Canis lupus familiaris: one gene and its partners. The protein of the gene in region 5 interacts with the protein of the main gene of each other region in a biochemical or structural test. Links are inferred from orthologs where the notes say so. Each region holds a gene or a part of one and is shown on either strand. Other genes may lie near its edges. The genes, in order: CAND1, DCUN1D5, DCUN1D3, RBX1, UBE2M, DCUN1D4 and NAE1.

Region 1 (3,970 bases), on a different chromosome or scaffold from region 5:
CAACACAAGCCACCACTGGAGGAACCAAAGCCTGAACGTGAGGATGGAAGACTTGAGGAGAGTGGTTACAAAGGATTACATACAGACACGACAAAGCATCAATCTTCAAATTTGATGAGCTTGATTTGTCATTCAGTGAGAAAATGATTCCTAAAAAAGTCAATGAGAAAAGTCCAATAATTTTTAGGTAGTTCTAGGAAAGAAAAAATTAAAAACTAATCCCTAAAATATTACTAAAGTTTCCGTTTCATCAAACTACCTCTAAAATAATAGAAACTCCATAATCTATAACTGTCAGTGCCAAAAATTTTAAGACTAGACTTTTTACTTGAAAATTTCTAACTTCAGGTGTTTAAAACGGTTTTTACGTGCAAATTAAGTTGTACAAGTTACCTTTTTGAAGGAAATGATTGTTTAAAGCTTATCAAAGACTTAATAAAGTCTGTAGTAAATCCCTAAAGTGATTAACTATTTTTCATACCTGGTACAAGTACAGGAATGTGTTGCGTTAGCGCCCCAGGTAGTACATTTACCAGTTCAGTTAACATGTTAAAACAACACTGTCGGGTCTTCACACTTTTTTCTTTCATCTGTTTGTGCAGAGCTTTAACAATGTTGGGAACCTGTAATTATCACACACTTATTAGCTGGTTCAGCTACTGGTATTTCCTCGGTACACTTAACATAAATTATCAGGGATGGGGAGAGAGGGAAGAATTTAACATGACCGTTTGATACAAATTTTGTTGTACCTATTACAACATGTGGTCTCTTGTAACTCTATCTGCTTTATACTGATAATAGAGAAAAGCCATCATTAACTTTCTACAGAGCAAGAAGTTTTCCTTGATTAATATTTAATTATGAAATACACAAGACTAAATAGAAATCAAACCAAATAATAGCACAGATATGCATTAAAAGAAAAGTGACAAATTATGGAGAAGAAACCATTAAATTGGGTCTTTGTCTTAGCTTTTAGTTTGCTCTCACAGTGAAATAGATCTCACTTCAAATACAAGCAGCAAGGTTATGATTCAAAGACACCTGCTTCTAAACTTTCTAACGTCTTGTTAGTTGGTAAAACCAAAACTGAGTTATTTATACTAATCTTACGGTATGTGTCTGTATGTATCCTCACACCCATATCAGATAGTGATCTGAGAGCTAGAGACAAAACCACCTAATTCATCACTTCATCAGAATTGCCCATGTTTTGCAGAACAATCTACCACAACCCTTGAATTGCCCATGTTTTTACCTGACTTCTATACCCTTTTCTCATTTCCTTCTACAATTAATTTTCAATGTTCACCTTTAAGTTCACCATGACTTTTCTGTTGTTAATTTGTACTATTTGAAAGCAAGACAAATATGTACATCTCCCCCGGGTTAGTTGTTCATTCCTCCCCAACATCTGTTTCTGTAATTTATAAAAATGAACAAATACATACGCCATGGGGCTGCTGTAGGGATTATATTTAAGATAGGAAAATGCCTAGCAGGCACTAAATATTCAATACATAGGAGCTATAGAGCTCTAATCGTTAGAATCTTAGAAAAGATGTACTAAAGCAAAAAATATCTATGCCAGTTGTTATTAATAAAATACATAAGTACTTACTATGTAATAGGCACCACACTAAATGTTTACATAGATCATCTCATTTCTCACTACCATGGGTAGGCTGTTCTAATAAACCATTATTACAAATGAGAAAAGTGAGGTTTAATAAAATGACTAACTTGTCCAAGATCACACCAGCTAAATTAGGAGTGAAGCAAGGTATGAACACAAATAGTGTGACTCCGCAGCTCTAAGATTTCTGTTAACACCAAAGATAATTTTACTGAATCTTAAAATTATTATCTAGTAAAATCAAAATACTTCAAATCAGAATAAACTATTTACAAGTAACATAGTATGAATGTACATAAACTACTACGTAAACATATCCTAGAAGTTTGCTCTTCCGAGGATGTTCTGGGACTTCAATTTCCATATAAAAAAAACAATTTTAAAATTTTGTAGTTACAGGCATGACTTTCAACCATACTTTTAAACTGACCTGACTCTGAAGCATGGTTAAGGGTGTTTCTCCCTGCTCCATGGCATCGGGGTCACATAGCCAACTTTGTACAGGACGAGTTTGCTTCAAAAGAGAAAGGTATGCATGAAAAACATCTGCCTTTACATTCTCTTCACGCTCTTTAAATCTGGATATCAGTGCAGGGGAGACAGTCTTGTAGAATTCTGGAAGCATTTCATGCCTTGTGCTAACTACAGCGTCCAAGCACTTGGCAGCTGCACGTCTCACTTTCCAACTCATGTCATCGTCGTCACTGTATTCATCATCACTCCCTAAAGAGAAGTTTTAATGTTAACAGGCTATTAATCATGGAAAAAGTTTATTGTTTAATAGAGAAAGTGAACAGATACTCAAACTCAGTTTTAAGATTTTTCACTAACATACAGCAATAGAGAAGCTTTAAAAGAACAAGGACTTAAGACTATACAAATTTACACATAAATTAACCTCTGAAGAAAAGAATCAAAAAAAAAAAAAAAAAAGAAAAGAAAAGAATCACAACTGTTTTAAACTTGTTAACCATCTTCTCACTTATGTGGGTAATGAGTAGCTTATCAGTCTTTATGATTAATTAATTTATAAAGAAGTTTCATGTATATTTGTAAAATTTTAAGTGTCCCAGCCTTTTAAACAATTATGACTAGAATTTCAAAGAACTCATCTAATACCACAGGAAAATCAAACAATCAAGGAGTTAATAAGATAAATCAAGAAATAATAAGACTGTGACTACAGATGAGGTGTTTAAAAAAAAGCACAGCTATCAATCCCAGGACATGCTGGGGAGAAAATCCTGACATGAGCTTTCCTTATGGCTAAAAGGGTTTTCACTAAATTTGTTGATGGGCTATTAGAAAAAACTAGGTGTATTTTTAACCTTTCAAGATACTCTCTTAAGGTAGTATAAAGAAACTATACTTCCTCAATCACAAATAAATTCTTTTAACAACAAAGCACCATGTAAAAAGAGAGCCCATCTTCTCCAAATTCCTGTGAATCCTTAGAACAATGTTCCAACACTACTGACTCCATCTTATTTACGTTAACTTTCATTGTGTGTGAAACCTCTGAAAATTATTTCCTTCTACCGCCATAAGGCTGAATCAGCTGGGTAGTAACAAAGTCAGGGGGATGGCAAAAATATTAGCAGTTCTCAGGATGGTCTAAAATTATCTAACAATAATTTTGGTGTTCTTAGGTAAGATTATAGTCCTGAAATGCAGATTCCTCACTGGAGGAAAAAGATGTCATCTCTTCGCTGGCTTATATTCTACTTAGCTTAGTGACAGCTAAACGTAGCTATCTATGCCTTAGAAAAATCCTAGGATTATGTAATAAAATTTTCCATTCTCCAGAAGGTTTACTTAATTTCATCCTAGCATATTACAGGAAAACCCAACCAAATACTTACTAAACCCAACACATTTGACTTATACAAGGTACTATATCAAAATGGACTATTTAAAAGCAAATAGTTGGGATCCCTGGGTGGCTCAGCAGTTTAGCGCCCGCCTTTGGCCCAGGGCACGATCCTGGAGTCCCGGGATCGAGTCCCATGTCGGGCTCCTGGCATGGAGCCTGCTTCTCCCTCCTATGTCTCTGCCTGCCCCTCTCTCTCTCTCTCTCTCTCTCTCGTAAGTAAATAAATAAATAAATAAATGAATGCAAATAGTTTTTCCCATGGCAACCCAACTATGGGAATTATTTTGCAAAAATATACTTAAGTGAAAAAAAGGACTATTTAAACGTTAAATACCCTAATCACTGAAATTATATTACTTTTATGTTATAGTAACATTATGGTGGAAAGGTAGTTATTAGGTATAATCAATGCAAATTGATAACACAGCTGAAGGACTTGGTTATTTACTTAATATAAG
Region 2 (3,970 bases), on a different chromosome or scaffold from region 5:
TAAGTGGATCTGTACAGTTCAGACCTGTGTTGTTCAAGGGTCACCCTTGCTTAGTGTCCCCCCTCTCTTCTCAGACTCTTAAACCTAGTATCTTATCTCTTCTACACCTCTGAAATCATCTTGTGAGGCATCAGTGATAAGTGGAGAATCCGTATTCATCAGAACTGTGGTAGAAGTTAAAACTGTACTTAGAAGAAAATCTGTAGCCTGTTACACTAAAAGAAAAAAAAACCCCTTCATCCCCATGAACTAATATGTGATTTAAGAAGTTAGAGAAAGGATCAACCTGAAGAAAGAGAGAAGAAGATGTTCAGATATTAGTAAAACAGAAAGCAAAGCTGTTAAGAAATTCTGGCAAGATGATTAAGAAAAACAAAAAGCATAAATAAACAGTAATGTATATTAGAAAATGTTATAAACATAATCATCTTTAAATAAAATTATATGTGAAATAAATTCTCAGAAAACTATATCCATGATCAGTTAATTCAAAAAGAAATAGAAAATCTGAATGGTCCTATAACCATTAAAAATGCTGATTGAGTGGTTAAAAATTCCTTCCCAAGGTGAAAAGACCTAGGTGGTTTCTCAGCTGCTTTTGGACAAATTTTGGACAAATGCTAATTCTAGTATTCAGTAAACTTTCAGAAAACAAAAAAACGGTACATTATTTCACTTTTCTGAGGTTTGTGCTATGAGTTTGTTATCAAAATTAGTAAAGAGGGTGTGAAAGAATGAAATTTACAAGCCCATCTCTTTTATGAACATAGCCAAAAATCTAGCAATATATGAAACAGGTAGCATTACCCAGTTTGGCTTATTCTAGGAATACAAAGTTTAATCAACTTTAGAAATTTATCCAGAATATTTACACCTTAATAAAATTATGAATCACATGTCATATGGATTTAGAATAGTGAAGGTCTCAGTTAAATCTAAGCATGCTAGATGTCTGCTACGTGATAAGTACTGAAACTCAGATTTGAGTAGGATATTGTGGGTCACAGTAGATGGACCCTGATTTAATGGAAGGGAGTCCAATGGTCTGTCCGTGATGGCAAAATGTGAGTTAGGTTTTGGCTAGTGATATTTTGTGAAAATGTTGGAGGGAACACACCTCAGGTAGAGGCAGTAATATGCGCTAAAGCATAGCTGTGGCATTTGTGAGGGGTAGGTGAGCTAGAGCATGACAAGTATGGGGACCTGGCAGGGGATGAGATGAGTTGTGTGCCATTTGTGAAAGGTGTCCTCCACTCTGCTGCTTGCTCAACATTGGAGCATCTGTCAGCCCAGTGAGTCAGAATGCCAGTGAAGATCTTTGAGAAATCTGTTTGCTTTTTTATGTTTGGTATCTTATCTTTAGAAATAACATGGATAACTTGTTGGTACTCATTCGTCTATGTACCTAATTTGAGGTCAGGTACTGCCACTAAATATTTACTTTGATTTTTGTTACTAAAAATGTAGGAATCTGAATCTATGACTGAAGCACTAATGTGTTAATTTTCCCTGTGTTATATCCCAGACTTTTTTTTTAATTTTTAAAGATTTTACTTATTTATTTGAGAGTGAACGCGAGAGAGAGCGTGAGTGGGGGAAGGCAGAGGGAGAAGCAGACTTCCCACTGAGCAGGGAGCCCATTGTGGGGCTTGATCTCAGGACCCCAGGATCATGACCTGAACTGCAGACAGATGCTCAACTGACTGATCCACCCAAGCATCCCTATCCCAAACTTTTAAAACCACTCATGACTAATCTCTTTTCACCAGCCTGGTGCTTGAGAACTTTCCAGTGAAATATGTGACAGAGGCCTGATTAATTTCCTTTGTTCTGCCATCTTTTTAAACCTTACGTGTGGTTAAAGCACATTTTTATATGTCTCAAGAGGTATTTGTGATTTTGCTGGAGCTTTTCATTAAATTGTATTTTTTTTAAAGGAAAATCATTTAACTGAAATTTCATTGATTGCCAGGTTTTCTCTGTTTTTTTTTTCTTTTAATTCCATTGGTAGATACAAGGCAATTAGTTAATAACTCTAAGTTTGTGAATCAGAATTTTAAACCTAGGTTAATTTAATGAATGCACTCACTTTTTTCTTAATGCATTCTTCTAACCCCTTAAAGATGCTTTTATTAATTTTCTAGATCGTATAATGTATTTGGTTTTTTTAATTTAAGGTGTGACTGCACAGAAAAGTTACAGAACAAATTTGACTTTTTGCGCTCACAGTTAAATGATATTTCTTCGTTTAAGAATATCTACAGATATGCCTTTGATTTTGCAAGGGTAGGTGGAATTTCCATATTTTGTAATTTTAACCTTTATTTAATCTTGAAACCACACTTAGAAGAATTTTTCCTTGTATTTTAGGATAAAGATCAGAGAAGCCTTGATATTGATACTGCTAAGTCTATGCTAGCTCTTCTGCTTGGAAGGACATGGCCATTGTTTTCAGTATTTTACCAGTACTTGGAGGTATGTATGTTTTGTTTTTTGAAAATATTAATCTGATTAATACTAAATTTTAATTTTAAAGCTCAATCTGATGGAAACTATACCTTTTGATTGAGGAGAAACAAAATAGATCTTTGGATCCTGTGCTTTTAAAAAAATCTACTTTAGTAAAAAGTTTCTGTTAAAATGTGTGTGTGTATGTATGTATATATATATATAGAGAGAGAGAGAGATTGTTATTTTTAGATGCAAGTTCATGTTCATCAATATAGTCTGTAGTGAGATACTTCAATTCTAGCCCTGCATCCCCCCCATAAAAAAAGCAAGTAACCTTCAAGAAATACATTTTAGCAAAGACACTCTTCATGAAAAATTAGTTTCTTGGGTTTTGGGCAGAAGAGAGATGCTAGTGTACAAATTTCAAACTTCTAAATCAGGTTTCTTTAATACAAGATCATAAGCTGAAATCTTCATAAGGGAACCAGTTGTAGTAATAAACTCTCCTTTTCACTTAGGTTCAATCTAAATAATTAGAATTAAAATATTTTATGTTCACAAATATGAGAATGGCTATAATCCTGTACTTGAATGTACTGATGAGTAAAGAATGTATACTGACTTCATGGAGAAAGTATTCTTTTAGAAAGTTTAACACAGCACCCACTGCCGGCAGTGGTTCAAAGATAATGTTCTTTTTTCATTTGCATTTCTTTGACTCTCTGTCTGTTTTTGTGCCCTTTTGATTTTAGGGGTTTTCTTGAATTACAGATGCTTTTGCTTTTTGCTTTGAAAATGATACCTCATAAAGCTGATTATCCTAGCACATTCCTCAGAGTAACTTTGTTTGAAGCTTCTGATAAGAAGCAGTGATATGGAAAGGACTTAAGTGAATGGGTTTCATGTACATTTATTTACATCTTTAAGCCTAATAAAGTGGGCGTAATGAAGGCTAGTAAAACATATTTTTGATGGATGTTATCAATCTTCCTTGTTAGTTGTTTGGGACAAAAATAAATAGAACTGAGTGTAAAAGTATTCACCTCTAAGGAAGCTGAGAGAACTAAATATTTTTTAACACTTGTTATGTGGAGGGTGTTTGACCAACAGTGTTTCTTAAAATCTTTATAATGCTGTTTCAAATTATGCATTAACCTCCTTCAGCAAATGAAAAAATGGGCTCTGTTGTTAAACAGTGTTCCCAGGGTCCCTCACGTAAGTAGAGAAGTGGGGTTTGAACCCAAGCCAGTACTCTTTCCACAGCCTGCAAAGATGTCAACTTCAAAATGTGGTTAAACAGTAAATTTTATCGAAGAAGTGATGTTCTGGGCAGCAGCATGAGGGAGCTTAATGTGTGTCATATACATCATAGATCTTGATTCCAGGGTTGTTTACATAGGTATATACATGGGTAGACATCAGATTTTACCGTTACTGGTAGTACCTTTGATACTCCTGTTATTTCTCTAAAATGAAGGAAAGATAAAGGAAAATGTAAATTGGATAATGTTAACATGTA
Region 3 (4,619 bases), on a different chromosome or scaffold from region 5:
CACCACTTTCTATTTCCTTTTTCTTGCTCTTATTTTGCCTACCTATTCTGAGCCCAGCCTCCACCTCTCTGACCTAAACTTTTCATTTCCTTTTTGTTCACGAGGCTCTGGCTGTTACTCCCCTTTCCCATTCTCCCTCACCTCTCTACCCTCCCCCTCCTCCACCTCACCCCTTTCTTCCCAAGCCCTAGAACTTGCCAGAGTCATTCCTGCCAGTTTCTGCACTAGCTAGTCCCAGGAACCTGGAAGGCTCCTCCCATATATCTGCATGTCCGGCTTCTTTTTATTCAAAGCTCAACTTAAGGGTCACCTCCTTAAAAAGGTCTTCTTTGACTGCATCCCGATTAGACATGTTTTGTCATATCCCTGTACTTCAGCACTTAGCAAAGTCTGATTCGCTTATTTATTCTGCCCCACACACTACAGTATAAGCGCCATAAGAGTTCAGACCTTATGCCTGCATTCACCTTTGTCAACCACAGCCCAAAATACTGGCTAGCTCTTACTAGCTAATCAATAATGCTTGTTGAATGAATGAATTTTTGACTTTATATTCAATGGTTCCAAATCAATTAAGGTGAGAATAGTACTCATTCTTTTCTTTTGTTACAGTTCTGTGAAACATCTAAACATGATGTTGTTACTTGTATAATCAAAGCATTAAACATCGTTTTATCAGGCCTGAAAGCCCTGATGAGTAGGATGGGATCCGTTATAATTCTTCTAGCAATACGCATCATAAATTCAGTTATAGAGGCCCAGGAGTTATGGACACTTTCTAACCAAAGGACCTCTAAAATGTAGGCACTATTTCTTAAAGCTCTTCAGAAAACACAGTTCCGCATTCAACAGAGGACTACCAAAGAAAATATCAACATCAAAATAGGAACCATTACATTTCACTCTGAAATTCCTACAACAAGCTAAAAGAGGACTACTTGGTGACTTTTTTTTTTTTTTGAAACCCACAGAACATCAATAGAGATCTTCTTTCCAGTCATTCTCTGCTTTCTTCAAATAATTTTTGTTATTGGTTTGTACTTTTTTTTTTAAACAAATCACATTTTCTCATTTAAGTCCGTCTATACACAAAGAATCAGCTAAATAAATGAGAGCATAAGACAGAAATCAGCACAAGCCAAAAGTGTCACTGAAGACTTGTGTGAATAGAGAAAAAGATAAAAGAGCTATTGTCCAATTGCAGAAACAAAAAAGTAATATGGGGTTTTCTGTTCTCTGAAGTGCATCATGAAGTGTGGGTGGAGAGAAACACAGAAATCCAGAATTAGCCTAACATCAAATCATTTTGGAAAGAGTTGACAACATGTAAATTCCTCACACACAAAGTATTTAGAACAAGAGACTTTGATTCCTGGGCTATGATGCCATTTAGGAATCCTTGCAAGGGCTTTGGAATCCCAGTATTCATAGGAGAAAATGCTCATCTTAATTTGGAGCTACCAGGCATTGAGAGGTACTCCCAATGTGACATAGCCTGTAACTGAAGTATTACAAAGCTTGCAGGAAGATCTGGGAGAGGCTGAACACCAAATTCAAAAGAGGTAACCAAGGTACCAAGTGCCATAAAGGAAAAGAAAAAAAAAAAAAAAAACACCAGGATTACCACGTAGCCACAGAGAACTGAGGTGGAAACGAGGGGTGTATATGAGGAAAGATAAGGGGGAAAGGGGAATGGAAAAAAATAAAAAACAATACATTGTCACCCCGTCCCACTTCCTACACAGGATACAGGCAAAGCTTCCAGCCCCATTACCTCAGGCACAGATGGTTATCGTTTATAGCAAAGGTGCACAGAAAGGCCTTCAGGTCTGAGCCCCTTAATTCCAGGGCTGTTAATGATTAAAGGGAAGGATGGGGGTGGGGAGGAAAATGAGGGAGGAGGGAGCCGGAGATTCACCCACCACCTCCCGCTTGGACTCCTACCTCACAGAGCTTACCCGGGCCATAGGACCAGAGTCGACACCCTCTCCAGGGCTGTTCCAGCCCCCAGATCCCCAGGCCTGGGTTGAGGGGTGCTGGCGGTGGCGAGGCAGGGACAGTAGGCAAGTTTTCTTGCGCCCTGCAGCTGACACGCCACAGGCTCCCCTCACAGCCTCTTCTTCCAAAAGGACCAGTCCAGACAAGGCGCTGATTTCCACTCCTCCCCTTCCACCCCCTTTTCTCGAAGGTACCCAACCCCCGCCCCTTCATCTCTCAATGCTCCCCGCTTTTCCTTAACCCCCCCCCAAAACTCACAGCTGCTCCAGAGGTTCCTCCAGTCAAACCCTTTCTGGAAACGACGGCGGCCCGGCGGGTCCAAACCACCTACCATCCCCGCTCGCGTTTCCAGGATCCCTACCCGCGCCGCCGCCGCCTCTTCTTCCACCACTGCCGCCGCCTCCTCTTCATCTGCGGCCCACCGGCGGCGGCCGCCCCCAAGCCCCGCCCCCTCCATCGCCTCCTGCATCATCACTTCCGGTAACCCCGCAGGCCGCCCGCTCCGGGAGGGAGAGAATAGAAGAGGGGCGGGGAGGAACGGGTGGAAGATTGCGTCACGACGTACGCACGGACGTACGAAGCCGTCGCCAAGTAAGGGCAAAGAACTAGCGACGCGGAGGGAGGGCTGGGAGGAGTTGGACTGGATCATTTTTTGGCTAGAGTGGGGGTGGGGGAGGATAGCGAAAAGGGGTAAAGAGAAACTAGGGAGACGATGAAGTTGGCTATACTGTTGGGTATACGGCGGAGGGTGGGCTAGAGTATGAAGTTTCAGGGAGACTTGAGACCATCCCTGACCTGGAACTAATGGTTCCACGGAGGGCCCCCCCCCGGTGGTTTAGTCCGGCCTGGCCTACCGGACCTGCCCGACCAGCGTCGGCCGCGGCTCAGCAAGGCTCCCGGCGCCGCCTCCTCCTAGCCCGCGGTAGGCTGCGGCGCTTCTGTGGGTGGGGGAAGGCAGGCCTGACGCAGAGTGAGTGTAGGGGATGGAGACGCTGACTCCTGGCGCGGGAGACTTGGGGGAAGGGGTTGACTCCCCAGGGGCAGGGATGGGCTGGGGGCGGGGGTGCGACGTTGCTAGGAGACGCGCTTGTGTGACCCCAGCCTCGCGAGGGCGGCTCTCTGTCCTCGCCACCGGCCTCGGGACCCCGCCGGGGGAAGCGGCCCGAGGGCCAGGAAGCGGAGGCCTGTTTGGCGAACAGCTGAGATGCCGGTTTGGGGCCCAACAGAGACTTTTCCTGAATCCTTTGGATCCCCGAATGTAAATGTGAGATCAGTAGGGGCAATTCCGGGGGCGAGAGGCGTCAAGCTGGGGAAGGTTGACCCAAACGAGGTCCCGTAGAGGCCACGGAGGCTTCCTAGGACGGTAGTGAGAACCTGCTTCTTAAACGGCTTCGGTCCGCGAACGAGAACGAGACGGAGGCCTTGCTCCGTGACTGTTTATTGGAGTCCGGGAGAAAGTTAAAATGTCAGTCAGTAAGGAGATATCAGCAAGTACGACATGCCCCCCTAAGACCATAATACGGGGTGTGAAGCGGTAGGAGGTGGGAGGAAGGCCACTCCAGGTGGGGTGAGGCTTTTCAGATAAGGCCAGAGTTCCACGGAGATGCGTGAAAGGAGAGAAGCTAGGGAGTGGACTTTTCTAGATGGAGAAGAGAGCCAACAGGAAGGGTCCTGAGGAGGGAAACGGCGGGAAAGCCAGGTGGCTGGAACTGAAAGAACACGGGCTGGAGTGGTCTGTGATGGAGAAGTGGGAGGGCCTGATCATGCACAGCTAAATGCCCAAGGTTAAGGTTTGGCTGTTGTGTTACCTGAGGGTTTTGAGAAGGGGAGTGACCTGATTTACATTAAAAAAAAAAAAAAAATCACTCGGCTGCTGGCTAGAGTAGGGTAGAAAGTTGTCAGACCTGTTAGGAGGCTGCTGCCCCAGGCCCAGGGAGAGATGGGTAGTGGCAGTGGAAATGCAGATTATTAAATTCGGAATGCATTTTGGAAATAGAGCTTGCAAGACTTGCTGCTGGATTGGGTAGTGAAGTGTACGGGAGGAGGAGGGACCAAGGATGACTCCTAAGGGGAAAACAATTGAAAGGAGACCCTTGACACAGATAAGGCCTCAGAGATAAAAGAAGGCTCCCTTAATATCCCGCAATAATGAGACTCTCATAATCAGTGAGACTCATCCACCCACTATCCAGCTTCTATTCATCCTCTAAGCCCTGGCTCAAATCTCTTCCTTCCCTTCCAACCCCAGCTGTCAGTGCTTTTGGACTTGTGCGCAGGTGATTTGTGTCCATTACAGCAAGGCTGACTTTGCTTGTTAATTGTTCATATGTCTGACTCCCCCACGGGCTATTTCTTCTTTGCGTCCTTCTGGCTCCTGGTACAGAGCTTTGCCCATAGGGCCCACTGTGTAGTTATGGCTAGGTAGGAACACTATTCATAAGATAGCAGCCATGGACTTCAACAACTCTAACAAAGGGGCTTTTGTCCCACTGCTGCTGCCAACTGTCAGCCACAATCTAGATATGGTTAATCTCGTAAAATCTAGAAAGGATATCAGAAGTATGAGAAGGCCTGGGTTTCAATCTTGGATCTGTTTCTGACCAGCAGTGGCCTTGGATAAG
Region 4 (4,409 bases), on a different chromosome or scaffold from region 5:
TATTTACATGTTGAAATGAAATTTTCTTGGATATAGTAGGATAAATAAAATAGAAATCATCTGTTTCTTTTTATTTTGATGTGGGTACCAGAAAAATTTAAATTATGTATGTACTTGCATTTGTGGCTCATATTTAGATTGGACAGTAGTGGGTCAGGCAAAGGTAGTGGGGAGAAGGGGAATATTCCAGGCAAAGGGAACAGGGCATATTAAAGGCTCTAAAAAAGAGCACGGACACTTCGAGAATGGAAAGAAAGCCAAAGAAACTACCAGAGTGAGCAGGAGAGTGGTGCAAGATGAAGCTGGAGAGGCAGGTGAGTAATTTTCAAAGTAAGTGCCTGTAAATGCAACTCTACAAAGCTGAAATTTCTTCATCTCATATCTGATCTCTGTAACAAACCATTTCAGTACCTGGAAGAAAAAGTAACCTCAGCTGTTCCTGGTGTGATCAACATACTTGCCCCTATTACTATAAGGACACGGAGTCCACGGATAGCTATAATCAAACCCACCATATACTGGCTACTATATGGGATGGAATCTGTAGATTTAAATGAAACTTCTTTACTGCAATTAGTTGTCTATTTAGATGCTGGCACCGATGTCCTCTTAACTTAGGGGCTAACACTGAAATTCCTTACTTCTTTGGCTTCTTTTCTTTATAAATCTTGCCAAGCAAAAACTAGCTTTGGTAGAATATTTTAGCTCAAAGTTTATTTTTTTTTTTTCCTTTCACTATTTTTGCCTTTGAGTCTGGGTATGAGATGGGAAATATAGAGGAATAATCAACAGTGCCTCTGTGTCCACAACTCATTCTAAATGTGTGCTTGCCATCTTTAGACTGAGTAGATTTATTCTGAGAGATGAGTATGTCTCCAGGATATCATTAAATCTACTCTATTTCAAACATACCAACGGACTAGAGGCAGAAGACACCAAGTGTTCTGACTATGCTTTATATCTCCTTGGGAAGAAATTTGGTCACATCAGAATAGCCACAATCTCTGTAACCTTCTCAACTTCCTCCCATCCACCTCCAGTTACTTACAAAGATCCATAATGTGGTTCCTGCAGATGGCACAGTTATCAACCACAATATCCCAGGCCCAGAGAGCTACTGCATTCCACTGCAAAGAGAAAAAGGGGGAACAATGCACTCTCCTTGTAACACAGGCGTACACACACTCTAGGATTTCATGCTGCAGCTACAGTTATCATCTCTTTGGCCACAAGGACCACCAGACACAGGAGCTTGGGGATATTACCTTACTCTTATTCATTTTATCAGAGGGCAACAGCAGACTACAAGTGTGCTCACCCATTTTCCAAAAGGCTGAGTATATGAACATAAATTAATGAATCCTCTTTATTTTCTCCTACAGCTTACAATAATTTAGTCAACTGTATCAATGTAAGAAAACCGGGAATAATTTTTGAGAGCCTGTTTTAGGCTTAATAAGCACAAATTTGAATTTCTGCAAAGGTAAATATACGCTCTTCAAGGCAGCTGTGAAGGTATGAGTGGGGAGGTGAAAGCTGGGGACAGAATGAACTAAGATGATGATTGGATCATAAAATGGGTAATCGTGGGATAAGCTGGATAACTAATTATCCAGTGTCAGTACAGAGCAAGGTCATCACTTAAATCTCACAAGATTATTTCACAACAAATTCTAGAATTCACTAAAATTTTGGTTAGTTCCTTCCATCAAATAAACTGGTGTTCTAAACTTTTACAAGCTCAGGCTCCTATTTAGTTCAGATAATTCCACTTAAGAGTTCATTTAAAAGCGGTATTTAAGTAATTCAACCTTTCTGGCTTCTGCAATTATAAATATCCCCAAACTCCCTTTTCATCCACCAATTTGGTGCCACTTCCAAAACCTTCATCTCTTTCGAACGCAATTCCCCGTCTAGTTAAACTTCTTTAGCACTTTCCGACAGCTTCAACTTGAACGGGGGAAAAAAAAAAAAAAACACAACAAAACCCTATTTCTATTCTTCAATATGGCTGCTGGCTGTAACTGAGCATGCAGTGCCCACAATGAAACACCAAAAAAGCACTAGGAGGGGGGAATATTGTCAGTGTTTAGCCAGATGTTCCAGGAATAACATTTCCCCTATTTGAGTCTTCATTTTGAACAGATTTATTTTATATCATGTGAGAATCGGCACTTTCCTCCCAAACTGTTGGCAAACCACTATAAAGCAGTTCATGCAAAAAGACACGTTCCACATTTTTGCTTTCCCACAGTCACCAGGTCGTTCGCCACTAGTACTCAACCCTTCCTAAATGACACAAGGTTTGGGCTCGCATTTTCTTTTTAACAAATTCCACCATGCTTTCCCCCCCCCCCCCCCCTTTTCCTTTTTGGACAGAGGGATTCTGGAAACGAGCACAGGACTGTGGAGGCTGTGTGACAAACCAACAGACCTCTCAGAAGAGCCAAGAGTTGTTACACTGGAGACACTTTAACTCGGCGGGGGCGAGGACTAGAGAGAGGGCTGAGGGAGGCCTCGAGGAGGCGAGGACCAGGCTGGGGTCCCTCAGAGTCAGAGGGACCCCGAGCTTCGGGAAGGGGCGGGGCAAGGAGATCACCAGCCGGGCTCCTCAAAGGCCTCCACTGCGGTAGGAACTCAGGTCCCGGCTTTCGCCGCACTGCCCCCATCCTCCACCCACCGCAGCGCTCCGACTCCCCCTTCCATCCACCCCACCCACTCCTCCCCACCCCTCCACCACTCCAGTGACAGCTCAGGCGCTTGGCTCCCTCAGCCAAGTCTCAACCCCGCGCATCTCAACAAGCGCCTCTGTGATTGGCCCCTCAGACTCCTAGTGAAACCAATACTGCCATTGGTAGTGGGCCCCAGTCACGCCGATCAACTCTAAGACCCGCCCCCCAGCTTCCTTTCCTGGTACCCGGTCCCAGGAACGCCCTGAAATGAAGCCCTTTCCTCCGCGCCTCGGTCATCCTCGGGCCTGCCAGCCAGATCCGCGCCTCTCTAGCCTCTCTGAGGAAGGCGCTGGCGAGACCCAACCTTTTTCACTTCAAAGCGCTTCTTGCCCGCGCCGCTGTTGGTGCCGCTCGGGGTATCCACATCCATCGCTGCCGCCATTTTGGAAACACACGGTCCGTCGTCCGGCCACTGCGCCTGCGCACCAGCGCACGCCTCGCTCCCCCTCCCGGCCCGGCACCTCCTCTCGCACCCCGCCCCTTACTGGCGCGCGAGGGGCAGGTGGGGGCGGAGCACGTGGCCACGCCTCTTAAAGGCGCTGGCGCAGGTCCCTCCCTCCTCCTTCCTGCCGCCGGCCCCCGAGTCGGCTGGGGAAGAGGCGGTGGCCGGGGCGGGGCCGGGCGGGGCCGAGCCGACGTGCTCGAACCGGGTGGAAACGCTCGAAAGACTAGTCTCCTCCCGCGGGAAGCCCCCGGCCGCGCTCCCTCGGCTGGGGCGGCGGCTGCTTCCTCCGCCTCGGCCGCGACCTGCCGCCCCGGCCCCGCCCCGCCTTCCCCGCTGCCGCACCGCTCCAGCGCCGGCGGGTCTTCCGCAGCGTTCCGCCCGGGGAGCGGCCAGGGCGGGCGCCCCGCCTCCTGCAGCCGAAACCGGAGACCCCGCAGTGTCGCGGGTCTCGGCTCGCTTCCGAGCCAGGCCCGACGTGCAGCCTCGCTGGGAAAGCCGGGCCCAGGCGCCGTTAGGTCCCTGATTCCGATTCGGGAAATGCTCGGGATTCGACAGGGAGCCGGGAGCTCCCCGAATGTCCTCTCCAGGGCCCAGCCGCGTAGGCATTCTCCCGTCCTGCCTCAACCTGCCCACCTGGAGCCTCGGGGATGCCGCCGCCCGCCCGCCCCAAACGCCATCCGTGCTAGAATGCCCTTTGGTTAAGGCGCAGGGTTTCAGTTTCACATACTCTTAACACACCTTTCCTGTTCCTCAGTTGGCCACCTAACTGTGGGGGTCCCCTCTCCCTGATCTCCATCCTCTTCCCGCTCCTTGCGCCGTGGGCACACTGCAGTCCTACTTGACTTTGTGTGAGGCGTTTGGCCATTGATTCTTACTGGTCGTTCCCAGCCAAAGCACCTGTACTTCATGTCTGCACCCGGAACCCCTTGTGGCTCTCTAACCCTGCAGAGGTATGACTCGGCTAGATCACTCCTAAATCTCGTATTGGCTTATTTGGAATCTCGTATTTTCTCTTGAAAGAAAATTGGAGCATAATGGAGTGTATGGACTCCACTGCCAAACCGGAAGAACTGCGATTTGTTTCCTTGCCTTAGTCATAAACAGGAACAACAAATCCATGAAAACACCACCAGGGCTTACACCAGACTTGGAAAGAGAAAAATTGTGTGAGACCTTAAAACGTTACAGGAACCCTACAAAGTTTTCCTTAGCCCAAATTTTGTTAGAGTGAT
Region 5 (4,592 bases):
TGCCTCAACTCAGCCATTCCCTCCTCCCTGGACCATGGGAAAGCCTTGAGTTCCTAGACCACACGAGTCTAGCTCTGGCTAGTGCACCATCAACTCTTCAGGGAACCAAAACCCCATCATCTGATGGGCCTCAGAAATTGGCCCGAGGTAAATGACACATAGTTTAGACTGACCAACAGGCAACACCCCCAAGACTTTGGCCGGAAACAGAATATGGTCATCAACCCTAATTTGGCAGTGGCCCAATAGATATAACATAGATAGGAAAAGCAGAGTGGCTGAGAAGAACAGAGAGGAAGGGATAAAGGAAGAGGAAGACTGAATCTGGAAGGACCATCTGAGTCCCATGACCAGCCATGTCTGAACCGAAAGAACACTGAGATGGCTGCAATGTCAACCCCAAACTTGAGCTGTTTGATGCTTCTGAGTCCCAGTTCTCATCCTGGGACCTCTCTAGCACTTAACTCTCAAAGGAGTCAAGAAAGGATGCTGGAAATGCAAGGCTAGAATAACAGGACAACCAGAAGAATGAAAGGAGTGTGGGAGATGGTGGCATTGTGAATGGAAGGGCCTAAAGAGGTAGCAGTTGCAGAGACACGGCTGCGATCAGTCCGTGGAGCCCAGGGACCTCAGTGGTACCCGAAGACCCACAGGGTAGGGCCTCTAAGGAGGCTAGGGCCAGCCCAAGATACGAAAAGGTGGAGGTGACTTCCTGAAGCGAGGATACGTGTCGAGATGGACGCCAGGTCGGGTCTGAGGAGGCGCAGGGCATGGAACGGCCACTCCCCCGAGGGGAGGACTGCGAGCCTGGGCAGAGGTCGACGGCTGAGAGGACCCCGTGAGCACCCCTGCCCAGCCCCAGCGCTGGCTCAACCGGACCGCCAAAACTACTTGTTCCACAACGCTCCAGGTGATGACGGCAGGTGGCCTCAGAGACAGACGGGGACGTACAGCGGGAGCCGCACTGGGTCGCAGAGGTGCTGAGAGACTGAGCACCGGCCGCACCCACCCACTGAGCGCGGTGCCGCGCTGCACACCCGCCCGACCGTTTCCATGGCGACAGCCGGACGTCATAGAACCGCCCCACGCCGCGTCCTCCCGCCCTCCGAGGCACGCTGAGCTGTGTGCGATCGTTGTGGAGGCTGGCCACACAGCGGAAGATCGCAAAGCGTGTCCGCTGGGTCTCGGGACCTGCTCCGAGAGGGTCCCCGCCCCACGTCCCATCTAGTGTCCACCCATGTAATCTCCCAAAGTGCTTACCACTAGCACAATACGCGTTTTATTTACTAGTTTACCTCATCCAGAATCTCCGCGAGCCAGTTGCTTTTGCGATGGGACATCGAGGTTGCTCGACCCCGCACTCTCTGAGTAAAGGCTATGGCCTCTCCGGGCTCTGGCCCGCCGTGATCACCTTGCCTCTGTGACCTCCAGGGGCAAGGACCTCATGTGACCCACCCCCACCACAATCTGCAAGGGTGGGCTGCCTACGAAGTGACCATCAACTGCCCTACTTAAAGATGGCGGTGGCACCGCCATTGACTGGACCCGCGAGCGTCCCCGGAAATGACCGCGGGACAGGCGGCACAAACGGAAATACCCGAGTCCAGCCGAAAAAGTCCGAATATTAAGACCTATTGCTGAGCAACGCGGGGCGGGGGTGGCGGCGGCCGTGGCGGCGGCGGCGGCAGCGGCGGCGGCCGCGGCGGCCGCGGCGGCTGCTGCTTCTGCGCAGGCGCATAGCGCAGGCCGGGCGAGAAGAGCCGAAGAGTGCAAGCGGCGGAAATATCCGAAGCGGTGGGGCGCCCGAGGCCGTTGCGGACCTCTGCGCCGAAGCCGCTGCTGCCGCGGAAGCCGAGCCTTTCTAGTACACGGCAGCCGCCACCGCGGCCGCCGCCTCCTCCTTCCCCTCGAGCCGCAGCCCCTCGCGGTGGGAGCAAGTGAACAGACAAGCGGCGCGGCCGCAGCTGGGCCTGAGGGGACCTAAGCTGGCGAGGGGGAGGAGGAAGCGGCTGGCTGGGGGCGGGGCCGAGCGGGCCCGAGAATAGCCGAGTCGGCCCGAGCGCCGCCGAGCGAGCCCGAGGCGCCGGGCCAGGCCAGAGCCGGACTACGGGAGCCGACGCGGGCCGCGCGGTGGGCGCGGAGCGGCGCGGCAGGCCGGGCGGGCGGCAGCAGCAGCGGAGGAGGCCGCGAAGGCGGGTTCGAGTGGCGGAGGCGGCGCAGGCGGCGGCAGGGGGCCGGGTGGCCGGGGTCCCGGGCCCCGCAGCGGCGGCAGCGGCGGCGGCGGCAGGATGATCAAGCTGTTCTCGCTGAAGCAGCAGAAGAAGGAGGAGGAGTCGGCGGGCGGCACCAAGGGCAGCAGCAAGAAGGCGTCGGCTGCGCAGCTGCGGATCCAGAAGGGTAGGGGGTCGGGGGATGGGGGTGGGGGTCGGAAGTCAGCGGCTGGGATGGGGTGATGTAGGAGTCTGGAGTGAGTTAATGCAGTCACCGGGGGGTCAGAGATGTCAGAGATGTGGCCGCAAATGTGGAGGTAGGAGGTTAGGGCCTGGGTTTCGGTGTGATGGGGGATCAGGGGTGAGTAATGCAGTCACCGAGGGGTCAGAGATGGGGGGCCGAATGTGGGGCACTTACAAGACTCGGAAAGCCAGGCATCTTGCATTGGGGACCAAGAATCAGAGAGTCAGGCAATGGAAGGCGAGTAGGAACCTGGGGACTCCACAGAGTATGAGAACATGGGTGATAGGCAGAGGAGATTGGATAGTGGGGGCCAAGGATTGGAGATAGGAGTAGGAGAGGATTTAGTGAAGTATATTGGGGTCATTGGGAATCAGAGTGAGATGGAGTGAAGTAAGTTTTGGGCACTGCGATTTGTGGGTCTGGGGGGGTCACATGGCAATTTGGGGTTTGGGGTGACACGTGGAGGAGGGAAGAACAGTGTGTGCTGGGGACTGGAGATGGGGGTAGGGTTAATTTAGACTAACATGCTGGGTGCTGGGAATCTTAGAGGCAATGTTTAGAGGGGGTACAGGAATGGGAATTCACATGTCTGAGGGTTGGATGGGTACCTGAATTTAGGATGACAAGCAGAGGAGAGGAGGGATGGTGGGGACGGCATTGGTTAGGGGCAGGGTCCTTGGATTTGGGTGGTCAGGTGGGGACCAGCAGTGTCTACTAGAAAATGGAGGTCATGGCCGGGGATCCTGGTGTTTGGGGTAGTTGTAGGCTCTTGGGGGGCCACACAGGGGTGGGAGTATTTGGGGGCTGGGGGGTTGGGTACGCAGCTGCTGGACGCTGAGACTTTAGGCTGTGGATTCGGAAGAGTTGGAACTTATCCCGGGCCGGGAGCTAGAGCATAACCACAGTTTACAATTCATGTTTGAGTTGTGCTGTGGATCTAGAAGAGCCTGCCTGGAGACTAGAAAGCAGAAAGAGTAGGGAGAGGGTTGGGGGTGTGGGGCACAGCCCAGGACAGAGCCCTGAGGGTCCTGGAGGAGGCCATGGGTGCTCTCCTGGCACCTGCACCTCCGAATGCCCTTGTCTTTCCATCTCCCTTTCCCTCTCATCGTTCCCCTTCTTTGCTATGCAAACCCAGACATAAACGAGCTAAACCTGCCCAAGACGTGTGACATCAGCTTCTCAGATCCAGACGATCTCCTCAACTTCAAGCTGGTTATCTGTCCTGATGAGGTAAGGGTACACTTAGTTGGACTCTGAGGCATGGGCCAAGGGGTCTGGGAGAGCACTTTGAGTTGGGAGACTTAGTTTACCTGCCAGGCGCTGCAGGATGATGTCCTAACACTTTCTTCTTTCTCTTTGCAGGGCTTCTACAAGAGTGGGAAGTTTGTATTCAGTTTTAAGGTGAGTCCCAGGTGGGCAGGGATACCTCCGTGGCTGAGGAGGCAACAGCTGAGGCCCCAGCCAGGCACTGCTGGGGCACTTTTCTATCTTCTCTCCCTTCTTGGAGCCAGGTGGGCCAGGGTTACCCACATGACCCCCCCAAGGTGAAGTGTGAGACGATGGTCTATCACCCCAACATTGACCTTGAGGGCAATGTCTGCCTCAACATCCTCAGGTGAGGGCTGTGACTTTGGATTGCACAAGTCTCTGTCCCTTCCTTCCCTATTGTGGTCTGTGGTCCTCTGTCTTCATCTCCATGTTTTCTTCCTCAAGTCTTGACCTTAGCTTTCTCCCTGGCCTGTCCTGCTGTGCGCCCTCCTCCTAGCCTCTCACATCTGCACTGTCCCGTGCCCTGGAGCTGACTTGTTCAGTCCCAGCAGGCTCTGTGTTGGCCATCCACTCACCAGCCCCTGACCTTGATTCTCCCTCCACAGAGAGGACTGGAAGCCAGTCCTTACGATAAACTCCATAATTTATGGCCTGCAGTATCTCTTCTTGGTGAGTAGGGGTAGGTGGGGAAGGCTGGGGAAGGTTGGCCCTTTCTGCTTTAAGGGCCTGTTGACCCCCACCTATACCGGCCACAGGAGCCCAACCCCGAAGACCCACTGAACAAGGAGGCCGCCGAGGTCCTGCAGAACAACCGGCGGCTGTTTGAGCAGAATGTGCAGCGCTCCATGCGGGGTGGCTATATCGGCTCC
Region 6 (3,970 bases), on a different chromosome or scaffold from region 5:
CTACAGAGTTTTCCACACTTCTGGTTTATTTCACAGCAAACCACACCTTTCTATTTGGTAGAAAAAGGAAGTGATTTCCTTCTACCATTATCATGATCTTGTATATGCACACACACCGTATATACATACAAAATTTTCTGTCTTTGGTGGTTCAGTTAGGGGAAAAAAATAATATGAAAATCTGAACACTGTTTGCAAAGAAACTGTGAAATAGTGGTCAGGAGTAGCATTGTCTGTGTGCTTTACTCATTTAATGCCATTTAAAGGTTCACATTTAATCCGAAAGATTTTTTTGGCCAGATTTTGCAGTAAGCCGAACCTCTTCCAATCATTATTCCATCATGGGTCTTGCTCACACCTACAGCATTCACTTGTTCAAATGCACCATTAGCTTTTTACTTGGTTTAAATCATTAGACTTTTATGTTTTCACAAAACTTTAGGGACTAAATTAGTCATTCAATAGCACCAGATAGTTGAGGGGAAAACATGTTATCTAGACATTTCCTCAAGAAGGGTAAGGCAAGGAAAAAAAAAAAAAAGACACAAAATACAAACCTAAAAATACCGTCCTGTTTACTCTTGTTTCCTCATCCACATAAATAATGGCTATCACCTTTCTGTACAAATTACTCGGGTAATGAATGACGAGTGGCCCCTCCAGGAAAGGTCCTACTGTGTAATAAAGTTAGCTCAATGCTGGTGGTTTCGTGTCCACTGCCTGCAATGGACATCCTGCCAGGAAAAGCCTAGCATGAAAGAAAGAAAACAAAAGAAAACACCTCTCACTTACAGTATAGTTCTTTTTTCCGAAAAATTAGAAAATTAGACACCATGAAAGCTTAACTAAAAATCCAAACCACAACTGAAAGTGCTCTGCGGTTACAAACTGCCAGCAAACCATTAGGTTTCCGCGGAGGAGGCAAAATCAATGTTACTTGAATGGCACGGGAAGCATCGGCAGACCCAACACTGACTAGGAGAATGCAAAAGGAAAAAGAAGACCGTAAAGGAAGTTTACGAGAGTTTCAAACTCATTTAAAAAAAGGTGCAATTTTAATTTGTTCATTTGTACCTATATTCAAACTACTACGGCTTTAACATCAGAGAATAGAAACCTACACCTTGCGTGGTGAAAATCATTTGTGGCATGTGGGACAAGTCTATATGCTCAAATAATTGTAACTTTCATCATTTAAAAAACGCTCATATTTAAGGAAATCAAATTATATTTGGCATATGCCTCTGGAAAAGTTCTGATTCCCACCTCCTTCCAAAAGTTGGCCTCTTTAACAATGAGGTTAATTCTGGCAACATTTGCTTATGGTAACAGCTGTTCTCTCTTGTGTTCTGAAATGCTACATTTGAGACCAAATAAAGTATAATCGGTTCATCTGAAAAAAGGGACTAGAAATATGCCACAAAAATTATTTTTACAATACAGTTTTGCAGAAATAATCTCTAGGTGAAGCTTTTTCTTTTTATACACATATACAAAATTTAAACAGCAATATACACATCATCACAGTGAGGACGTTGGCAAATTCACCAATCTGTAGTGTAAATACAAACTGCAAAGCAGCCTTCCAAGAGAACAATGCTACACAGCAAGCAGAGCTGGCCCATTCAATAGCAAACACCAAAACGTCCCTGCAAAAGGGAGACAGTGCAAGAAAAGCAGCATGCGCTTTGATACAAACAGCAATTTATGGCTAATGGTTGACATATCTGTGGTAACAGTGACTCTCTCGCTGCTATGCATAAAGTCCTAGGACATCTGTTTGTCTTTATACCACTCCACAAACTCGTCCAACAAAACTGGCCCTAAAGAGAGAGAGAGAGAAAAAAAAACACGGCTATAAGGCTCTTCCCAGTGAGGAGGGTGTGCGAATGTATAGCGATGGGGGTGGGGTGGGGGTGGGGGTGCGTGTGCGAGAGCGCCCAGCGCCGGTACTTACACGCTCCATCTTCGTCGTAGTTGCTGAGGTCAAGGTTAATTGTCCTGCTAAACTCTAGCACATTGCACCACTGGTCTTTGTTAATAACTTTATATTTTGATTGCTGATGGGAGGGAAAAGTAATATGAATTACTGACACAATTAACAAATGGCACGGTTTCAACTGCTGTATGAATCAACTTAATAAAGTTCATGAAGGTTAACTCTTTCCATTTGAGGTATGCTAAGCACCAATCTGGGAGAAGGATGAGAGAGAGCAAGAGTAGAACTTAAGATGACAATTTCCATTAGAAAAATACCATGAGGGCTCAACACAAAATGACAAGCACATCAAAGAAACATGATTTTTATCCCTAGAAGTGAAATTTCTAGACTGCCAAAGCCCTTTTATTAAAAGGAGACACAGAGAGAGAGATAATTAGCCTACTTCATAGAGATCTTGTAAGAATTAAAAGAGATAATTTATGTAAAGTACTTCATTCAGTGTTTGGCAGAAAGCAGGTGCTAAATAAAGAGTAGCTCCCACTAATAACCCCTGCCCTGATCAGCACGCTCCCTGTCAAGCTGTCAGCGTCAAGCACACCCAGCAGCGAGGCACCCTTCGGGAACTCACCAAGGGCTCCCGGCGGTCTCAGCACTAGGTGCTCTGGCCGTTGGAAAAAAGTTACTGTTCTAATCACTCAGAACCTGAATCTCATCTTCAAAGTAATAAATTAGAAGACCCATGAAGTAGTTTTCCTATTCCTCTTAGACAAGAAATATGCCAGAGGCATTACTTTTTTTAAAGTACACAATTCCTGTATAAAGACTGAAAAATAAAACCCAGATTCAACAGTTTTTATATCCTATCCATGAAAACTCAGCAACACCGGGGAATAGCACGAGTAGGTAAAAAAACTAAGAGAGCTGAGCCCCTGGTTTGGGGACACAGACGCAAGAGAAGCTCAAACCAAAGGACTGCGGTGTCCTTTGAAAAGAAAAAAAGCAAACTAACGTAAAAGAGAGAACAAAGCCCGGACTACAAGTTTGACTCTAAGCAACTCAAAGCAAACACCAGTCAGAGACAGCCGAAGATGCTCCTGCAATTGTGCAAAGTCGGACTTGCTCACAGCAAGGTCTTTCAGCTAAAAAAAAAATTCCTCCTCTCGCTGGGGCTCAGATTTCTGCTATCCCCTGAGAACAAGGACCTATTTCTACTCATTTTCCAAAGAAAGCTGATGTTTCATGGGATAACCAGAGAAATCAGAACAGATCATCTGTAGACGTGGATTGGCGTGTAAACACCTCGTACAGTAAAACTAGTTTCCAGACTTGTCTTGAGGAGTCCTGGTTAGTGACGCTAAAAGCAATTTTTAGTGACAGTCCTCAAAGAATCCGGTCAGCTGGAAGTTCTTCTGGACCAGTGTGTCAAGTGAATTGTAAGAAAGAGGGTGGCAAGAGGGAGGCCGGAGTCAGGGTAGGGCCCAAGCTTTTCTCAAAGACCCAGCACCTTCATCCTTCTGGGCAGAGGGTGCTTTGTAAGGGGTTTGGGTCTGGAGGGCAAGAAAGATGCCAAGATACGAGACAAGCCAAGCAGCTCAAACTCCCATCTCAGACATTTCCAGGTCCTACAGTATCACCTGGCATCAAAACCAGCTCCTGATAAACCAGCAGCTCAAAACTTTGGATCATTAATAGTTAGAGCAAGCAACAACAGTGAAGTGCTGGATTTTCTTCTATCGCAAACATGAAGGAAAACTGAAACTGAGGGAGATATTGCCAGTTTGCCTCACACTTAGGTTGACCTAGGTCCCCATGTTCTCGGGGACAAGAGTGGATAACAACACATGACAAGCTTCTTTTAGTAAGAAGGCAGATGGCTGTTCTTTTAACGAAAGTGGAAGTTCATCGTTGTATAGAGCAGGAAATCCTAACGGAGGGAAAGCTGTTAAAGTGGGGTGACAGAGAGGAAAGGACAGAGCTGTGGCTGTCTCGGATGCGCCTGCACTGGGAAGCCATGTGGCACATACACCC
Region 7 (3,970 bases), on a different chromosome or scaffold from region 5:
GATTTTAGATTTAAGTAAATATTTCCTAAATTGTAAAGTTGTTAGAAATTAATATTTATAATATGGATTGAATCTTATTTTAAAAAGACTCTGCATCATCCTTGTTAAAATGGATGTCAGTGCTTCAGCATATAATAGTGTTATTTTTTTATTTATATAAATTTTTTTTTAAACATTTTATTTATTCATTCATGAGAGACAGAGAGAGAGGGAGGCAGAGACACAGGCAGAGGGAGAAGCAGGCTCCATGCAGGGAGCCTGACATGGGACTTGATCCCAGGTCTCCAGGATCAGGCCCTGGGCTGAAGGCAGTGCTAAACCGCTGAGCCACCCGGGCTGCCCTAAAAAATAAATATTTATATAAATTATTTGAAGTACATGATTTGTGAATAGTCACAGTTTGGGTGTAGGAATTATATAATGAGGGTGATATTTTGCTGGCCCAAAATAGTACTGCCTGAAAGTTAAATCTTACCCTGCATTTTCTCGTGACAGTAGTTGTTTGGCTATAATGTTCTTTTTTTTTTTTTTTTTTTTTTTTTTTAATGTAGGATGTTCTTTTTTTTTTTTTTTTTTTAAGAATTTTATTTATTCATTCATGAGAGACACACCCAGAGAGAGAGGCAGAGACACAGGCAGAGGGAGAAGCAGGCTCCATGCAGGTAGCCCGATGTGGGACTTGATCCAGGGTCTCCAGGATCACACCCCAGGCTTCAGGCGGCGCTAAACCGCTGAGCCACCGGGGCTGCCCTAAATGTAGGATGTTCTTAATGAAGTTGTAAAATATTATTTGGAGGATGACTCAGTTTAGATGCCCTTTGTTTTGTTGTTACAGTCTTACCAGTGAAGTTTTTGGGAAATTTCAATAACACAACTGTTTTTTTTTTTTTTAAGACTTTATTAATTTATTCATGAGAGACACAGAGAGAGAGAGGCAGAGACACAGGCAGAGGGAGAAGCAGGCTCCATGCAAGGAGCCTGACATGGGACTTGATCCCGGGTCTCCAGGATCACGTCCTGGGCTGAAAGCGGATGCTCAACTGCTGAGCCACCCAGGTGTTCCCACAACTGGTATTTTAAGATAAGAATCTTTTTATGGGCAGCCTGGGTGGCTCAGCATGTTAGTGCCGCCTTCAGCCCAGGGTGTGATCCTGGAGACCCGGGATCAAGTCCCATGTCAAGCTCCTTGCATGGAGCCTGCTTCTCCCTCTGCCTGTGTCTCTGCCTCTCTCTGTCTCTCATGAATAAATTAATAAAATCTTAAAAAAAAAAGTAAAGTTTTAAAAAAGAATATTTTTATAATTTAAAATGGTAAAAAATGCTGCCTTTCACATTAAGAAAGCACATCAGCTGTCATTACAAACTTTTTGGAGACGATGAGGTAGTGTTGTGAATAATTAAAAGTGTATTCTTTGTCAGTTTTCTGGGGTGATGAAAATTTTCTATAGTATCTTAATTGAGGTGATGATTAGAAGGACATGCATAGTAATCAAAATGCATCAAGCTATACCTTTAAGATTGATTTCACTGAATGTAAAATTTACCCTGATTTAAAAGAAAAAAAAGTTCTCCTAAGAACTTTTTTTTTATTAGTAAGCTTAGAAAACAGATAAATATACCAGGTGCTATCAACAAAATTTGAGCTGAGCAGAGCAGAGGGGTAGAGCATGAGGATGAGGAGTTCTAGGATCAGGAGGGGGCTGTTGAGATGTTTTGAGCAAGGAGCGGAGTGACCTGATTTATATTTCTAAAAAGTCATTCGGGCTCTTGCGAAGAGAATAGACCATGGGGAACTGGAAGCAGAAGCAGAGAGACCAGTTAGGGTTACCAGTAAGAAATTTCTTTTTTCCTCACAGCTGTAGAATCAAAGCCTACAACTTCTGTAGTTGTTATTAATGCATGATGATTTTGCCAGCATTAGAAGTACTTATTTAACTATTTAGTTTTTTTCAGAGTTGTTGTCTCCAATAGTTACTAACTTAGGGTGTAAGGGTTGCAAATTTTTGACAAGATGGAGACACACGAAGGACTACAAATCTAGCTTACTAGTAATGTCTGAAATCTTTGTTATATCTTCAAATGTAACTATATGGAAAGATTTACTTTGACTCTTTTTTTACTCCATGTATGATGGAAGAGAACAGGTCAGTCTTTAATGGTGTCAACAGTGGGCAGGAAAGGACTTCCTTCCATTCTCTCTTATCTCTTCAAATCTCTGTCTAGTACTGATTCTCAATAAAAGTCTAAGCACAGGGGCATCTGGGTGGCTCAGTCAGTTAAGTGTCTGCTTTTGGCTCAGGTCATGATCTTAGGGTCGGAGGATCCTGGGATCTCGAGTGGGGCTCTGTTCTCGGGGGAGTCTGCTTTACCTTCTCCCTCTGCCTCTTCCCCTCATCCCACTTGTGTGCTGCCTTTCTCTTTCTCTCAAATAAATAAAATTTTTTTTTAAAGTCTAAGCACATCAGAAGTTTGTATTTGATTAGAATGTAGCAATTCAAAGAACTTATTTGGGGAAATACTGAAAATATAGATGGGCACATTCTTAGAATAAGTAAATGTTTTGTGTTCCTTTGTTAGATCCCAAGCAGTATTGAAGATATATTTAATGATGATCACTGCATAAATATCACCAAACAGGTAACAACCAAAAGTAAATAGTGCCCTCTTAACCTTTGGGTCAAATTCAGATGCCACTTAATACTAATTTTTTTCCTTAATCTTTTAGACTCCATCATTTTGGATTTTAGCTCGTGCCTTAAAGGAATTTGTGGCCAAAGAGGGTCAAGGAAATTTACCTGTTCGAGGCACAATTCCTGATATGATCGCAGATTCAAGCAAATATATAAAGCTGCAAAATGTGTAAGTCACTGTTTTCAAACTATGTTACTGAAAAATTGACCTGTTTATAGTACAGATGAACATATTTTACCACTCTAATGGAATTCAAATGCAAGCCGGTCACAGTTTCTTTAAAAATAAGCTAAAAAACTTAGTGGGCAGATTTTTTAAAATAGATTTTACTTTTGGAGTAGTTTTACGTTTACAGCAAAATTGAGCAGAAAGTACTGAGTTCCCATGTACTGACTAGGGGGCAGATTTTTTTTTTCATATTTCATGATAAAAACCTAATACTTGAGCACTTAACTCTTTGCTATGAACCACCCTATGTATTAACCGATTTACTGTTTACAACAACTCTATGAGAGAGATGATAATTATCCCAGTTTTATAGATGAAGAAACTGAAACATCGAAAAGGTAATTTATTCAGTCAAATAGCTGGGAAATGGCAGAACCAGGATTTGAATCCATGAAACCCAGCTCTATACTCCTTTTTTTTTTTTTATTTTTTTTTTATTAAGATTTACTTATTGGGGTGCCTGGGTGGCTCATGTAGTTGGGCATCTGCCTTCAGCTCAGGTCATGATCTCAGGGTCCTGGGATTGAGCCCCACCTTGGGCTCTCTGTTTAGCGGGGAGTCTGCTTCTCCCTCAACTCTCCCTATGTGCTTTCTCTCTCTCTCAAATAAATAAATTAAATCTTTTTAAATAATAAAAATAAAAAGATTTATTTGTTTTTAGGGAGGGGGGAATGGGGCAGAGAGAGAGGGAGAACCTCAAGCAGACTCCCCACTGAGTGCAGAGGTTGAGGCCCTGGGTGGGCCCTGACACAAGGCTCAATCCCATGACCCCAAGATCATGACCTGAGCTGAATCCAAGAGTCAGACACTCAACAGATTGTACTCCCCAGCTCTATACTCTTAATCATGGCCCTATAGGAACTTTTATCTGTAACTTAAAACTTTGAAGTTTTTAGTTTGATGAATTTTTTATCATAATGTTTCATAATTTAAAGAGTTTGTGACGAGATAGACAACAGCTATCTAGACGTCACTACCCTGAACCTAGATAGACTGTCATAAGTATGAGTGTCAGTGGATATTATCCTTATGTAATTTAGGCATGTTGCTG

What was found.
Region 1: the proteins of UBE2M (region 5) and CAND1 form a complex in vitro, tested with the Homo sapiens proteins (2 studies listed by BioGRID). The link is inferred for Canis lupus familiaris from reciprocal best matches to the Homo sapiens genes UBE2M and CAND1.
Region 2: the proteins of UBE2M (region 5) and DCUN1D5 form a complex in vitro, tested with the Homo sapiens proteins (3 studies listed by BioGRID). The link is inferred for Canis lupus familiaris from reciprocal best matches to the Homo sapiens genes UBE2M and DCUN1D5.
Region 3: the proteins of UBE2M (region 5) and DCUN1D3 form a complex in vitro, tested with the Homo sapiens proteins (4 studies listed by BioGRID and IntAct). The link is inferred for Canis lupus familiaris from reciprocal best matches to the Homo sapiens genes UBE2M and DCUN1D3.
Region 4: the proteins of UBE2M (region 5) and RBX1 form a complex in vitro, tested with the Homo sapiens proteins (15 studies listed by BioGRID and IntAct, with this or other methods). The link is inferred for Canis lupus familiaris from reciprocal best matches to the Homo sapiens genes UBE2M and RBX1.
Region 6: the proteins of UBE2M (region 5) and DCUN1D4 form a complex in vitro, tested with the Homo sapiens proteins (3 studies listed by BioGRID). The link is inferred for Canis lupus familiaris from reciprocal best matches to the Homo sapiens genes UBE2M and DCUN1D4.
Region 7: of the proteins of UBE2M (region 5) and NAE1, one has a biochemical effect on the other in vitro, tested with the Homo sapiens proteins (4 studies listed by BioGRID, with this or other methods). The link is inferred for Canis lupus familiaris from reciprocal best matches to the Homo sapiens genes UBE2M and NAE1.

What each region holds. Positions count from the first base shown.
Region 1 is NC_049231.1:10,026,795-10,030,764, reverse strand, and holds part of CAND1 (cullin-associated NEDD8-dissociated protein 1), read right to left. Parts: intron 2,363-3,970; coding exon 2,070-2,362; intron 624-2,069; coding exon 482-623; intron 151-481; coding exon 1-150. UniProt on the Homo sapiens protein: Key assembly factor of SCF (SKP1-CUL1-F-box protein) E3 ubiquitin ligase complexes that promotes the exchange of the substrate-recognition F-box subunit in SCF complexes, thereby playing a key role in the cellular repertoire of SCF complexes.
Region 2 is NC_049226.1:28,900,597-28,904,566, forward strand, and holds part of DCUN1D5 (DCN1-like protein 5), read left to right. Parts: intron 1-2,177; coding exon 2,178-2,286; intron 2,287-2,370; coding exon 2,371-2,475; intron 2,476-3,970. UniProt on the Homo sapiens protein: Contributes to the neddylation of all cullins by transferring NEDD8 from N-terminally acetylated NEDD8-conjugating E2s enzyme to different cullin C-terminal domain-RBX complexes which is necessary for the activation of cullin-RING E3 ubiquitin ligases (CRLs).
Region 3 is NC_049227.1:24,694,599-24,699,217, reverse strand, and holds the start of DCUN1D3 (DCN1-like protein 3), read right to left. Parts: upstream 3,059-4,619; 5' UTR 2,969-3,058; coding exon of another isoform or gene 2,803-2,968; exon of another isoform or gene 2,661-2,802; intron 2,449-2,660; exon of another isoform or gene 2,257-2,448; intron 2,127-2,256; exon of another isoform or gene 1,959-2,126; intron 1-1,958. Other genes in the region: LYRM1 (LYR motif-containing protein 1), read left to right, coding at 2,803-2,920. UniProt on the Homo sapiens protein: Contributes to the neddylation of all cullins by transferring NEDD8 from N-terminally acetylated NEDD8-conjugating E2s enzyme to different cullin C-terminal domain-RBX complexes and may play a role in the cell cycle progression by regulating the SCF ubiquitin E3 ligase complex, after UV damage.
Region 4 is NC_049231.1:25,235,652-25,240,060, forward strand, and holds the start of RBX1 (E3 ubiquitin-protein ligase RBX1), read right to left. Parts: upstream 3,197-4,409; 5' UTR 3,115-3,196; coding exon 3,037-3,114; intron 1,128-3,036; coding exon 1,049-1,127; intron 1-1,048. UniProt on the Homo sapiens protein: E3 ubiquitin ligase component of multiple cullin-RING-based E3 ubiquitin-protein ligase (CRLs) complexes which mediate the ubiquitination and subsequent proteasomal degradation of target proteins, including proteins involved in cell cycle progression, signal transduction, transcription and transcription-coupled nucleotide excision repair.
Region 5 is NC_049222.1:100,125,681-100,130,272, forward strand, and holds the start of UBE2M (NEDD8-conjugating enzyme Ubc12), read left to right. Parts: upstream 1-1,741; 5' UTR 1,742-2,288; coding exon 2,289-2,397; intron 2,398-3,589; coding exon 3,590-3,684; intron 3,685-3,816; coding exon 3,817-3,855; intron 3,856-3,965; coding exon 3,966-4,069; intron 4,070-4,328; coding exon 4,329-4,392; intron 4,393-4,478; coding exon 4,479-4,592.
Region 6 is NC_049234.1:45,578,429-45,582,398, reverse strand, and holds part of DCUN1D4 (DCN1-like protein 4), read right to left. Parts: intron 2,061-3,970; coding exon 1,958-2,060; intron 1,824-1,957; coding exon 1,768-1,823; 3' UTR 1-1,767. UniProt on the Homo sapiens protein: Contributes to the neddylation of all cullins by transferring NEDD8 from N-terminally acetylated NEDD8-conjugating E2s enzyme to different cullin C-terminal domain-RBX complexes which are necessary for the activation of cullin-RING E3 ubiquitin ligases (CRLs).
Region 7 is NC_049226.1:83,061,806-83,065,775, forward strand, and holds part of NAE1 (NEDD8-activating enzyme E1 regulatory subunit), read left to right. Parts: intron 1-2,577; coding exon 2,578-2,637; intron 2,638-2,725; coding exon 2,726-2,859; intron 2,860-3,970. UniProt on the Homo sapiens protein: Regulatory subunit of the dimeric UBA3-NAE1 E1 enzyme. E1 activates NEDD8 by first adenylating its C-terminal glycine residue with ATP, thereafter linking this residue to the side chain of the catalytic cysteine, yielding a NEDD8-UBA3 thioester and free AMP.